2 linked regions of the Lepisosteus oculatus genome follow. The protein of the gene in region 2 purifies or fractionates together with the protein of the main gene of each other region. This does not show direct contact. Links are inferred from orthologs where the notes say so. Each region holds a gene or a part of one and is shown on either strand. Other genes may lie near its edges.

The links. Proteins that work in one complex are often made in the same cells at the same time.
Region 1: the proteins of ezh2 (region 2) and AT-rich interactive domain-containing protein 1A purify together in Homo sapiens (affinity purification with mass spectrometry; 3 studies listed by BioGRID, with this or other methods). This does not show direct contact. The link is inferred for Lepisosteus oculatus from reciprocal best matches to the Homo sapiens genes EZH2 and ARID1A.

The regions. Positions count from the first base shown.
Region 1 is NC_090706.1:7,219,249-7,226,599, forward strand, and holds the start of AT-rich interactive domain-containing protein 1A, read right to left. Parts: upstream 3,023-7,351; 5' UTR 2,696-3,022; coding exon 1,769-2,695; intron 1-1,768. UniProt on the Homo sapiens protein: Involved in transcriptional activation and repression of select genes by chromatin remodeling (alteration of DNA-nucleosome topology).
Region 2 is NC_090701.1:2,908,439-2,915,689, reverse strand, and holds the start of ezh2 (histone-lysine N-methyltransferase EZH2), read left to right. Parts: upstream 1-4,245; 5' UTR 4,246-5,310; intron 5,311-5,559; exon of another isoform or gene 5,560-5,617; intron 5,618-7,251. UniProt on the Homo sapiens protein: Polycomb group (PcG) protein. Catalytic subunit of the PRC2/EED-EZH2 complex, which methylates 'Lys-9' (H3K9me) and 'Lys-27' (H3K27me) of histone H3, leading to transcriptional repression of the affected target gene.

The sequences.
Region 1 (7,351 bases), on a different chromosome or scaffold from region 2:
GATTTATTTAATCTTTATAATGTGCAATCAATCTAAGACCCTTTATCAATTATCTAAAGCCACAACAATCTCAAAATTAATTTTCACTCCCTGAAAAAGAACAACCTCTGAGCTATACTGTAATTGTTAATAAAATTAAAATGAACAATTCTGATAACTTTTTATAAAGTTAGGAGGCTTTAAAAAAAAGCATTAAAAGCATTAAAGTATAGCATCCAGATGGTAGAAACTATGTGGGGGGGAAATTCCACTAAGTAAACTATTAATTTATCCTAATAATAATATATGAATGAATGGTTTACTTGGTGAATACACCCAAGAAATACAGAATTACTTGGATTAAAAAAACTGAAAAAGTTCTAGTTCTAATAATTGAAACTGCTCAAAAGCTTATATAATGAGATGTGGATGTTATCACTAATACGGATTAGAGAAAATGGACATTAAGGTTTTAAAATTATTTCCCCGTCCAGTCAAACAGATCCATTTCACACTCCATCATAACCAAAAATGACCTGTGACTATTAAAATTATTGATCAAACTATCAACAAGATGCGCCCTTACACAAATACAACCATAAACACTGAACAAAGCTGGAAGATTTTTTTTTATTAATGACATATACTAAGTAAGACACTGGGGGGAAAATGTAACATATTAAACTGACCATTATCAATGACAAATTGACCTTTTACAAGCATCACAGAAGATAGTTCTGGGATCAAGAGAGGCAGCATGCCTGAAAGTAAGCAATGTGTGTTGTTAAGATGTTTCTGTTATCTTCAGAGTGTAAAAGTATATGAGCTAATCAGGGATTGTTGTAGCATTACATCAGATGCAATTATAAATGGCCAAGAGCAGAGGATGGAGAGCCAATCAGATCTCAGCTAGCATGTCAACCTAAGACCAACTGTCTCCTGGCTTTGACAGAAGGATTTTACCTCCATAATTCAAATCCCAAAGCAAAGCAATCTGCACTTACTCAAATCACTGGCCATTGTTTACTAGCAGCCTAAGGAAAGAAGAGCCCCGATCTGGGAATGCAGGGACAGAATTAAAACGCCATTCTCCGAGAGGAATAGGAGGTCAATGTAAAAACTCAGCAAATATAGTGTTAAAAAAAACTTCCAGCTCCAACTAGACGTTTATAAAGCCAGCACTGTTTTAGTATTTTCTGGAATGTTACATGCATTTTACAAGGATCAGGAAATCTTACTGCCATGCTGGGAATTTTCCCCACTATTAAATCCAAATATGCAAATGTAATTAATACAAACGTGCGGATCTATTAGTTGCTATAACCCCCGGACACACCAATGTTGCTAACGAGCGGCTACAGGGGAAACAGAAAAAAAAACCACCCCTGAAAGAGACAGAAAGCCCTGAGAATTACACATTTTAATTACCTTTTAAGCCGTCCTGCCCTGCAGATAAACAACACGCGAAACAAAAAAACGCCTTTCGCTGTCATTTTACCTCTTTAAAAGTCGCCTCTCCTTTTAGCCCGACCGCCCAAACTTCGACTTTTCACCGCCGGGCTCGGAAAGACGACGATTCGGCTCGACCAGCCGCTTGTTTTTACTAGATAAACGCTGTTAGAGGAGGTGGTGTGGAGAAAAAGCTGAGAGGCAGCCATTTTAGAGAGTCTGAGAGAGAGAGAGACAATGGCAGGTCCATTGCACTAGGTCCTAGTCTACACCATTACAGAGGGCTGCGAGTGTAAAACACAGCCAAGCACCGCGGGCTCCGAGGCGAATGAAACTTTACCTGATTTCTGCTTAGTGGTTGCCCAGTACTTCCCGGGCTCATAGGCGGCGGATGATGGGTCCTTTGTTGCCAACCCTGGTGGCCACCATACTGACTGCTGCTGCCCACGTCTACTGGTCCCTTGTTAGCTCCTTCCTGGTTACTGTAGTCGCTAGGGGGGTAGTTCTGGTAGCCCCTCGTCGAGCTGGGAGAGGTCAGGAGCTGGTTTAGGGTTGGGGTGGAAGTCGGCTGCGGGTTTCCCATAGTATACCTCTGATTATTGTAAGTGACAGCCATAGCTGTAGTTCCTCCCGCTGGCGGCGGCGGCTGCTGCTGCTGCTTGGCTGGCTGCCCCCCAGCCGCCGGAGGCTGGTTGTTTCGCGGGGAATTCATAGTGTACCCTTGGCCGGGGTAGGCAGTCCGATTGGGGAATGGGCTGTAGTTGTTAAACTGGTGGTTGGGGAAGCCGTGGTCGTGCGAGTTGGGCTGATAGGAGTCCATCATGCTGCCTGGCTGCACGGCCGGCCCCGCCGCAGCTGCCATGCCAGGGCTTTGTTGTCCGCCATGTTGATGAAAAGGGCCCCGGCCGTAGTGCGGGCTGTAACCGTAGGGTGGTGGAGGAAAAGCGGCGGGGTGGTGGTGTGCCATCCCGGGGTGGTTATTCCCTTCGGGAGCTCCTGAATCATTCTGGTTATTATTATTGTTCACCCTGGACGGATTCCCGTTCCCGTTCTTCATCTCCGGATCCCCTCCTCCCCCTGCATTTCCACCATCGGCCCCGTCCTGTAGCTCCTTCTGACCCGGGGATCCACTCTCCGATCCCGGTTCCTTATTTTCCTGCTGCTTCTCCCCCGGTACCGGCTCCTCCTGTGGGTCCCGATCCGCTTTTTTCAGTTCGGACGGCGGGCTGGTGTTGAGAGTGGCGACGCTGGCGACCTGAGCGGCCATGATATTCCTCTCTCTCTCTCTCTTTCACAGCGAGTCAGTCACAATCAAACACTCAATAGCATTGAATATAAATACAATTATTTATAACAATTTACCCGTGTCCCGGCTCATTCCCCCCTAACACCGGACCGAATCCGGGCTCCACTCCCGGCTCCGATGCGAATTAAAAGTTATTGAAAAAAAATAAATAAAAATCCCGGGAATGAAATTAACCGACACGGAATGTGGGGGGGCTTCTGTTAGAGAACGAGACTGAGAGCGAGAAACTGATCAAACCAGCACGAGGCTCCGCGAGACACAGCCATTTTACTGAGGCGCGCAGAGAGACGCAAAACCCGGACTGGAGTCCCGAGACGGGGTGGAGCGGGACTGAGACTGGAACTCGACCGGGGTGTTTTGAAATCACAACAGCAATAACATTTATCGCAAAGTGGATGGTAGAGGGGGTGGCGGTGCAGAAAATAAGGGAAACGCAGACGTCGGCTTTAAAAGGTGCCGTATCCTGAGAGGCCCCTCATGCTTTAATTGGGCCAGTTCAAAAGAAAACATGAATATTATTTTTTAAATCCCATTTTCCTCTTCAGGAAAGGGGTTGTGTGCATTGGAAAAAACACAGTCAAGATAGAAATCAAACAAGTTCACGTGTGTCAGGGTGTGTGTTTGGTGCTGGGTGGGGGAGAAGTGTTATATATTTGTTTAAAAAAACAGAACGGGTACTGTAAAAGAAACTATCACTGCGGGCACAATGGGAAGCCTATTTAAAACAACGCATACCGAATGGACGCGAACCAGGATATGGTTACACTTTATCTTGCGCCCGTGTGAAGACAGGGGGTGTGTGGATGTTAAATGTCCTGCTCCTGTGCGCTCAAAAGCAGGAGTGAACTAGTTGCCGTGGACGGTTCTGTGTAAATCTTCCGCGCACTGCGAGCATGTGAAAAGTGCGACTGTGTGCACAGAAACACCCGATCTCCTCACAGAGGCGGCATGGAATTACAGCGAGAGAGCGAGGGAGGAGGGGTGAGCTGTGGACTGAACCAGTCACAGAGCAGGAAGTGATACAGAAGGCAGGGGTGGGGGGGGGAGAGATCCGCCGCAGTAGCAGCTACAGTCCAGAATACTATTTCTTAAGAAAACAATGCATAATATTCCGACTGTGGCTTGGCTGCGCAGCAAAAGGAGAAGGGAAAAAAAAAACTAAATAAATAAGCCTCCGGCTCTCTTAGCGTCCCGGCGCATTTAAAGAGATCGAGCCGCCATCCCCGATCCGCGCACACACACACACTCACACCCTCTCGCTCTCCCCACCCCCTCCCCGCGCTCGCGGCCTGTCTCTCCGGCGCAGACGCGCGCACACAACTTCGCCTCTCCAGCGCGGGGGGATGGGCGCGCGGGCGCCACAGCGCCTTCCTCGCGCGGGGGCCTGACCTCGTCCGGCGTGCGGAGGAAGGGGTTCCCCTCGGCCCTCTGGCGGGGAGGGGGGATAAAACCAGTGGCTTATTATTTGCGTTTGGCGGGGGTAAAAGAAGAGGTATAACCCCAAACCCTGCCTAGTCAGGACGCAGGGGGGAGGAGGTTTGGGGGAAACTCATCCCAACGTCCCCAACTCTCTCTTCCCCCTCTAAACTCGTGTCTCAATGACCTGTTTTTCTTTTCCACCCTTTTTTCTCTCTGCACCCGGGTTTGTTCGCTTAAATCCCTCTGCATCCCTTTTATGTGTCGGCTGTCTTCCACGGATGACGACGACAGAGGAGGCCATGGAGGAGGGAGGGTGTTTCGACGTCGATTTTGCCCAACGCTTTCCTCCCCCCGGCCTGTTCCGTCCCTGGTCCCTACCCCGCCTCCCTCGCTTGCCACGCGTTCGCGCCGACTTCCCCGCCGTCCCCCGCGAGCGCGCTGCGGACCCTCACCGGGCCGGGACGCGGCACTGCGGACCCTCAGCGGGCCGGGCCGCGGCACTGCGGACCCTCAGCGGGCCGGGCCGGGGCACTGCGGACCCTCAGCGGGCCGGGCCGCGGCACTGCGGACCCTCAGCGGGCCGGGACGTGGCACTGCGGACCCTCACCGGGCCGGGACGCGGCACTGCGGACCCTCAGCGGGCCGGGACGCGGCACTGCGGACCCTCAGCGGGCCGGGCCTGCAAGCCCGACAGGTTGTGGCTCAGCGCGAGGTGCACATCTGCTCTGCGGACCAACTTGTTGAGGGCCGAACTGCCGGCAGCAGCGAAGGTGTGTTGTGCCTCTTCGCGCTCGGGGGGCCTGGGGGAATGAGGGCGGCTCCGATGCCCGTTGGCCTCGTTTTACCACAAAAAGCCGCGCGGGCCGGCAACGTTTTTCACCCCACCAGCCCCCTCAGCTAGCTCACCCTTCCGACTTGACTCGCCCCCCCCCCCGCAAACTTCCAGACGCCGTGACGTGTCGGAAATCAAAACGCCGGACAAAAGAGATGGTTTTTACATGGTGTTCCTTGAAAGTTTTGACATATTTTCCTCACAAAAGGACCGAACGTCCGTTGTCTTCGGCTGGGGCTAGGCCGTGACGCCGGGGGAGGTTTTGACAGCGCGCCGCCTCTGTGACTCCTCTCCTCTGGCCTCCGAAAGCCAACTGCTTCCCCAGACAAGAAAAAAAAGAAGGTGTTCCCTTGTTTTAATTTTGGATCCAACTTTCGCGTGAGCAACGGTCGCACGAGCTGACAGAAACCCCTGTCCTGCAGAGAATAAGCTTCCCGGACTTTGAAGGGTCTTGCGCTCTTCTAGAAGAAGAAAGGAGAGTGAGGCAAACCAGGCATCCAGTTGGCCAGGTGGAGAAATAGAGAGGAACTTAATTCGTTCTTGGTGTTAAAATCAGGGACATAACTGACAGCCCAAACTGCAGGACAATTTTCATCACGTTGGCATTCAAGTTAAATACGTCCATTAAGGATTTTTTTTAAAGCCACAGTAAGACAAAACAACATCTAACGATCGTTCACCACTTTGTCTGTTTAGGTGCCTTTGCAGAAATTATTCTCTACAAAAGAAAGGAGACCGTTCTGCAGGATAAGCAGAGGACAGCACAATTCCCCTTTGCATGACATCACACTGCGCTCAGATCACACTTAAGTGGTTAACCCAGCCCCAGTTACTCACACTGTTCACATTAATAGCAAAGGTAGAATCCCTAAGGCCTTCCACCTCGTGTGTCTCAGCAATCCCACCGGGATAGAGCACATGGCACTGTGAAGGAATCCGCAGGATTGTGCCCCAGGAAAATTGAATGTTCCAAGCCTATAAATAAATTGGATTTGAAGAATATATAATATTAAGAACATACAGTATATAATCTACCAAAAAATATGATAAGCCTGTATTTGCACAGGACATCAAGGATAAGAAACCTGGCAAGAGGCCTTCTGAATTGCTTCTGTAATGGTTCTTGGTGTTTCCGCCCTTGCCACTCCTGCCCTGCCAGTTCGTCCCTCACCGCCTGGGCACGAACCCAGGTCTCCGGCGTCATGCAACAGGGAACTTGACGGCTGAGCTAAAGGAGAGCTCCCTCAGCCCGGGTGGCTGAGATCCCTGTTATACGCAGGGGCATATTCGTTACACTTGGACGAAGGAAAAAAAAAAACACACACACAGCATTGTAACTCTTTCATGAAGGGTACACCACACCATACAACAACATGCATGAAAACCATACAGCAAACTGAAATTTCACATAACTTGACAGGACTGCTGCCACCGACCTGCCCCTGCAGAAAGTTCCTGTCAGCTCTCCAGTCCTTCATATCCACCTGACTTCTCCCTAGAAGTCCAGAGCTCTGATCTTGGCTTTCTGCTGAAACTGCGTCTCGTTACGAACCGGTACAAAATAATGATGGGCCCATAATGGAATTTGCACCAGTGGTGGTAAAGGATAATGCGTGTTGTTTTATCGTATGGTGCAGTGCTTGTGAAGGATGGTGTTTTTTTTCACCATCGTATGGGAAAAGCATTGCCAAATTTGCCAGAAAGATCAATAACCTAAAACTGAGAACTAACATCAAAGAGCGTGGGTTTGGTACAAACGCTGTACATGACATTTTTCCATGCTCAGGCCTATATCCACTCTCCAGGTCCCTGGACTTGACACTTAGCAGCGAGCTCCTCAGGTATGACTGGTCATCGGTTACGTGCTGTAGGCTGCCCTTCTCCCTACCGTTTCCTGCTAGGTTAGGAAACTCAATCCGTCTTCCCACAATAATGATTAAAACATGCTGACCGAACAGCCTCTGATCTTGCCCCCCGAGAAAATGACGAATGTATCACATTCAGGCCTCCACTGGTACAGGGCTTCTCTAACGCAGCACTCCTGAAACTTTGCCAAGGAACAGAGGCCAAAAGCATGCCTGTCTCGAACATGACACCCACCATCACCCAGCTGTAATACAAACCTGATACCAGCTGTACTCAAACATTGGCCCAACAGTGACTGAAGCAAGGCCTGGTCGTGATGGGGAGGGATGCAGACTCTTTCTGTCCCACGGTCACAGCTCCCTAACCCTGAAAGAAAACAGACTGTGTTTCATACCGCTGACAGAGCAGAGCCTGCTGGCCTTACTCACAATGGACATTCACTGCATAAATAAGGGGAAAATTCTGCAATCACACAAAGATTACCAGAACCCTTAATTACA
Region 2 (7,251 bases):
TCATGGCACTAAGAATCACTTAATTTATCCTACAGATAGATGTAGTGCTCAGTGCAAGCGAAGATAAAAATGATAGCGCTACACACCGAAGACAAAGCTCGTTTTTGTCCCCCCATCCGTAAGCCTCGTACTGAAGCATCACGGGATATGCAAATCGTACGCAACTGTATTACAGGCACACGCGGCCGCGCAACTAGACAACTCGAGACCAGCAGAAGAGAAGACGGACGATTATTGGGGGGAAGTCAATGACAAATTAGCCCGTCCAAATCGCATTGTGCACAGATGACCTCCCTCCTCCAGCATTTGTGCATAAAACCATTGCACTCGATAATGAACCAATCCATCAACCGGCTGCATTTTTCCAAAATGAGACAATTTATTGTGAAAATAAAAAGTAACAAATCATAATAAATAATGAAGATGTTATTAACGTTATTACTTTTGCTTTGATCTCCACACCTTTCAGTCCTACTTTTTCTGTACATATAATCGCAAAGCGAGCTGCCAGTTTTACAGCTGCAATACCGAGACCTGACCGCTGGGGGGAGAGAACGGTTTGAAAAAAAATAATTTCAGCGCCGATGAGGACAAAATACTGTTAAAAATGAAATTAGTTTATTTTTTTCCGTGCTACTGCGTGATTTACCCCGCAACTGAAAAATCCATGCAAAACAAGGAAATACTTTTCATACTCGTTCCAGCATTTTTTTTTATATTACGCTCAATGCACACGTGTTAGCCATTCAGAAATGAATGCAATATTATACAGAAAGTCACGCTTTAAACGATAGCAACATGTGCTGTAAATAACGGATCACGCCAATTACATTTCTGAACATTCCTTGAAAATGGAAGACATTTTAATGAAAAGTTAAATTCGGTACCCAAAGTGAGAGAGTATGTGAACGTACCATCTTTTTATTTTGTGAACGCAATCGTTTCAGCACAGCATTGCAGCCCGAGCTGCCTTTGATCAAGTAAGTGCAAGACACCAATTAGCTTAAAAGCACGTGTTCTGCACAGACCTTTGCAATCGACGTAACAATTGTAATTTTTTTTCCATGTATAAAGAATTTACAAATACAAGTACAACTCAAGGAGCAATTGTAATTGACCAATCAGGAGCGCGGAGAGTGACCAAGGGCAGCAGCAGGTACCTGAACTGTCGTGATCACGGTATCGTTATCCTGTAACACATCTCAGGCAATTAATCGTCTTTACTGGGAGGTTATCTGTTCTGCATTAAACAAAAAAAAAACACGATTAAACGCAACACGAGCTAAGACATCTCCACGACCGCCGCCTTCCACGCGGAGAGACTTCAAAGCGGCTCGGCGGGCGGCCCACGCGTGGCGTGGCGTGGAAAAAATTCACATGTGACGCACTGCGAGGCGTTCCGGGTTCTAGCAGCGGTGAAACACGAGGAGAGAGCAGGACGCGCACACCCCGTCAATGAGGAATGAAATGCTAAGGGTCATTAATAACCCTTTTCCCTCCCTCTCCTGTACTCCCTAGGCGGTGCTCCGCAGCGTGGGTGTCTTACGACACGTAAGAGACAGAATATCAAAATAGATACAGCAAATAGGCACTTCACAGCAAGAGGAATTCACGACGCTAAGGGCTGAAGCAGTTGCAAAGTCTGGGAGCAGGTCCTGAAGATGATGAGGAAGACTACAGCTCGTCCGTCTGGGAGAAGAGGCCCGTGCGGGAGAGCTTCGTGAAGTGGGAAAGCTGTCGCGCCGGGACAGTCCCACTCCCTCGCCCTGTGGCGGTACGAGTAGTCGGTGGCGGTGGATGGCCACGACGCCTCTCTGTGCCTTGTCTTGCCCTTCGCTGTCCACAGAGCATTGCAGCAGTATAGTGTCCCATCACACTGTACTGGGGCATCAGGACCCACGCAAACCGCAGGGTGAGAGCGCCCCCCGCTGGCCCCACTCACACCTCTTCCAGCAGCAGCTGGGGGTCTCCCGTCCGGGTACCGGCCAGGCTCACACCTGCTGGGCTCCAGGGGCCTGCCAGCAGGGAGCTGTAGTAAGATAGCAGCAGAAAATTAGCGATTTCATTGTGGATGATAATTAGACTTTACTCGGTATTTGTTCCGGTGGCATATTTCAAATAGATTCAAATCTAAAAATATCTTTGCACAGTTTTGATCACGGGTAGATATTTATTTCGACTCTAGAGTAGTTTTGGGAGGGTGGGGGGGATCTATCAGCTGTTCATTTCCATTAAATTTGAAGATTTTCTCTGGTTTCGAGAGGAAACCCAGTCCACCCCGAAGGGAGTTAGCGAGCTGTTCCCTCGTGCTTTTTTTTTTTTTTCCTCCGTGGGTCTCCATGGGCAGACATTCCCTCTGCTGTCTCCTTCCTTGTATCTCATACGCGCACGGCTCCGCCGACCCGGCAAGTCCGGTCTGGCCGGTGTCCCCCGTCCGGCCCGCCAAGCCCCATTCAAAGGAGAAGGCGGGGGAGGGCCGACCGCCAGCCGGCCAATCACGGCGCGAGTGGCCCGCGGCCGGAGACCAATGCCAGGAGAGGGAGGGATCCGGTGAGACCCTGTCAGCCAATCGGAGAGCAGCTGAGCTCGATTTCAGGCAGGCGTGGGAGAGGGCGACTTTGTAGCGTGTTGTCAGACAGCTCCGGCAAATCACAGGGCGCGGAGTCTTGGCGAGACTGTAGAAACAACTACCCCTTTCTCACATAGAGTAATATAACCCCTACCCTTCAATATGGCAAAAGATAATAACTGTTGTGAGCCCGGACTTGCCTTGAGAGGCACTCCATCCAAACATCGACACTTGTCGTTTTCCGATGGCATGACAATGACATGTTTGAACCTACCATCTCTCTGTGCGCCGGTATGGATCTTAAAGTACCCTAAAATTAACTCATTAAATTAAATTAATTTAAAAAATGAAAGAAGAACACGCGATTCACAGAACGTCTCTGCCCCTGCTCTGTAAAGTCACTCAGGCGGGGCTTGAAGTCTCGTACTTGTTCAGTCGAAATACCTCAGGTCCCTCGGCGATGAAGAGCTCTTTCTGCACATGGCGGTGTCTAACGATGGTTAAAGAACGTGACTTCGAGGAGTTCAAATCTGAAATCCGGGAATGGGAGTCAAAAATGATGAAAACAGACCTCGGTAACGTCGTGACGTAGCGAGGCAGCCTGTCGGCACAGGACAAAAAGAAGAAAATATTTGCTTTGTTTTCACTTTTAAAAAAAAGTCAAATTTAGAGGTCAAGAGCTCAGTATTGGTAGGAAAGTGGTAATTTGTTCGGATACAAACGCCTCCCACTAAGGTAGAAAAATGATTATGTGAGAACAAACCTTTAGACCACTCCAATTGAGACAGTTGCAGGACATCCACCGCTATGTGTATTTGTGCAAGCTGACTGAATATTTATTTCCAAACTTATGTCGTATATCTACTTCATTTAATGTATTTTTGAGATAGAGTAGTGTTGATGACAACTGAGCTGTTTGATCTACTATTTCAAATCGTCTCTAATTCACGGGTAAAAGTCCAGAAGAGGTGTGAGTTGTCTCTACATGCTGTGTACAGGAAGGGCAGAAAGCAGTTTCTCATAATTATTGAGCCCGATCAGTTTGGATATTTAAATTATATTTAGGCTAATATTCATTAGAGCCTACTGGATGGGGTGATCCTCAGACCGTGAAAAGTGCGTTCAACTGTTTTTCACGAGTTTCCTTTGATTAAACTAGTGTCTTCAAGAGGGATTTTACAGCAGGTAAGATACTAATTAAAGCGAGAAAATAATGCGCCGGGGACAGAATATAAACAAAGACCTTTCATTTTGTGAAGTATAATTCCATTCTTTTTTCCCCTCAACCTGCTTTAAAGTAGTCCTTTGGATATTGATTCCAGTGACAAAGGTTAATGCACAACAATCATTAGAAAACGACTATCTTCTGTCAAAACACTCTACTATTCCGGTACTATAACTGAAGGACATTTAAAAAAAAAAAAGGTCCGTGCTTTCCAGTGAATAAAATAAAGCGACACGTATCTATGTAAGTGACATTATAAGTTATTTCGTCAACAGGCGTCAGCTCTGCATAACTACAGGGCTGAGGCGGATATAGTTATAGCTCCACATCTCAAGAGGTGTAGTCACACAACTTTTTATTAGGAACAAGTAATAGGTTTATTCCATGCTGAAAAAAAGAAGAAAGAGAACACAACGTTTCGGCCGTGGAGCTTTCTTCAGGTTTTTTTTTTTTTTAGTGGTTGGGGTGAAATGAGCTGTACATGAGGTAGCTGTGTGAATCCGTGGGTTTGTATTAAACTGAAGTGGACAGTCGGGGATAGTCGATGGAGAAGTTGATGTCTAGAAACGGAAGAGCAGTGGAAGATATGTTAACCGTATATTTGAGGGACGGGTGGAAGTTGGTGAAACTTTTTATTAGCTGTGAAAGTGACTGAACTAGGAAAGAGCGAAAGAGACAAAAGCGTTTTTATATCCACCCCCATTCCTTGACACGGCTCTTCCACATCCTGGGAGACGTATATAATACGCTTAGACGTTTCCGATTTAATAGTAAAAAATATTTTAATCTGCTCAGAGCAGAACAGCCCCCCCCAATTGGCCATTTCTCTGCAATCCAAAGATGCACCACAAATAAACCAGCTGGAACGCGTCGCTTTGCGTATGCCACGGCGTAGAACACGAAGAGGCTGTCGATTACATTAGCATGACTGTTCGTTTTTGTTTTTTGAGTGAAAACAAAAAATTAAGCATCGCAACCGCCGACCTCAACAGCACTCCACCGAACAAGCCCAGGAACAAAGGCAACTTCTCCACATGTCCCCGCAGGCGGGGCCCCCTGCCGCACAGCCGCCGCTGATTGGCCAGCTCCCCGGCGGCAGCGGGCCATTCGGATGCCCCGATACTGGGGGGGCTGAGTGTCCTCCTCGCTGATTGGCGGCCGCGTTTGGCGCTCGCCGAGGCCCCGGTCTGGCGGAGCGAGGGGCGGACAGCGAGCGAGCAGAGGCGACGGGCGGTGAGCGGAGAGCTGCCGGAGCGGAAATCGCCGTGCGACGAGGGGACTCCGTGCCGAGGCGAAGGCGACCGAGTGCCGGCCGCAGCGGAGCGGCCCTGCCGAGCCAGGGAGGGGGGGGGCGCCCAGCGAGCGGGAAAGGAGGAAGGAGCCGCCGGGCCCCGGCAGCGCCTCTTTGTGTGAGCCGTTTACCCGGCGCCCCTCGGTCGGTCCCGGAGCCACGGGAGGGTCGTCGCCTCGGTACCCCGGTGGCTGTGGACCAGGAGTCGAGTCGGCTCTTCGACAGGTGAGAGGGGTTTTTTTATGTGTGTGTGTGGGGGGGGGGTTTGTTTCCATTTTGTCGTTTTTCCATTCACACGACTAACCCCCCCGCTCTCTCTCTCTCTCTCCCCCCTCCTCCTCCTCCTCCTCCTCTCTCTCTCTTTCTCCCGGCTCGGCTGGCTGGCGGAAAAGGGAGAAGAAGAAACGGCTTTCTTTTTGTTTCGGGCGGGCTGGAGTGCAGACCTGTGTGTGTGGGGGGGTCGGAGCGGTGAAGACTTTTTTGTTGTTGTTTTGTTGTTGTCGTCGAGAGAGTCCGCACGGCCGCTGTCCGGGTGAGCTTGAGCCGGCGGTACCGGGGCGGAAGTTTTGCGCCGTGCGGTTCCCTCCACCGCGCAGTGTGGGATCCGGGTGGGAGAGTCGTGCGTGGCTCCTTCGCCCGGTGTTGTCTCCCACGGGGTGTGTGTGTGTGTCTGCCCCCTCTCCGGCGCCGGCGGTGTCGCCTCGGGTCCTCTCTGAGCGCCGTGCCGTGTCGGTGAAGTCCGCTGTCCCGGTATTGACCTCGGCGAGGCGGCGCGTCGTGAGAGCCCGTTGTCTCTACCTGTGTGTGGTGTCCCGGGCTGGCGAGGGCTCCGCGACAGCACGTCAGTGCACACGGGTTTTTTTTATTATTATTATTTTAATCTGATCCCCTGCTTTGTGTTGCTGTTAGATTTTGTTTTGTTTTCTTTTTTAAAGAATTGGTCCGCCGGGGGTTTTAGGAATAGGTGAGTGGAGGTAGGGTTTGCACTGGACCACTTTTGCTTTGCTTTTCGATGTCCTGGGGGGCGCTGAGCGTCCCGGCGAGTTGGTTTTCGATGGCTGGCAGCGAGCAGCCCCATGTGTGCGGAGCAGCCCCATGTGGGGAAGCGTGCGGAGCTGTTCCCATGTTCCTCCATCAGAAGGAACTGGTCGTGACCTCGGGTCATCGGGGCGAATGTGGAAGGCTTGGCTTGAGACTACCAGGTGCTCTTTTTTTCACTCTTTCATCCTCTTCAGTTTTTTTTTTAAGGAGAATGGTCGTCTGATAGTCTGCCTGCAGTGTAAATCTGATGTGGTGTCATTTAGGTTGTGGTGGCCTGGGTTTAAGTGTAAAAAAAAATGTGAACTGTTTTTTTAAGTTGTGAATAGATATGTTTTTAAGAATGTATCTGTGAATTCATAAACGTACCTCAGTTCAGAAATTATTCGAAGGTAAGGTACTGTCTCATTGTTTCCACACGCCAGCAGTACTGGATGAATTTGTACACAGAAGGTGAGCACTACGAGTGAGCGGCCAGCGTGGCTGTCTTGGTGTCAGGGGTGTCCTGGTCCTGGAGGCGTGTGCTGTCATTCAGACCTCAATTACCACCTGATTGGCCCAACATCCCCGCCACTCCCAGCTCTGCAGAGACCTGGAGAGTGAGACAGCGGCCCTGCCGGACCAGGAACTCATGCTCTTGTCGCCTCAGGAGGGCGAGGGGTCGCGCGGTTCAGAGCTCTGAGGCTCTGCGCGGCGCTGAAGACTGACACCTCCTTACGTGTCTTTCTTGAGCCCCGAATGGTTACCATTTGATGGGTCCCTGACTGAAATCGGCCGCACAGCCGTGCGGGACGGTCCTGGCTGTTCCCCTGGGCTTGACGGGCTCCGGGACCGCGCTGCCCGCCTCTCTGAAGGGTTCTGGTCCTGGTTCTGGTCCCGCAGCGGTGATGTGGTGCGCAGGCCTGCTGTCCCGGCTGCTTGTTGTAGGTGGGTGGGGAGGAGTCGGGGCTGGCGGGGCCTTTCTTGTTTTCTGGTCAGGTTCCAGCCAGCCACCCGTCGGGCTTGCAGCAGCGTCCCCCCTGGGGACAGGGGTCTCCCCTCCCTCTTTCTGAGAAGGAAGCGGTGCAGCCGGAGTGAGCCGAGAAGGGGAATTATGTTTGTGATCAGTCGCACCCCAGCTGTGTTCTC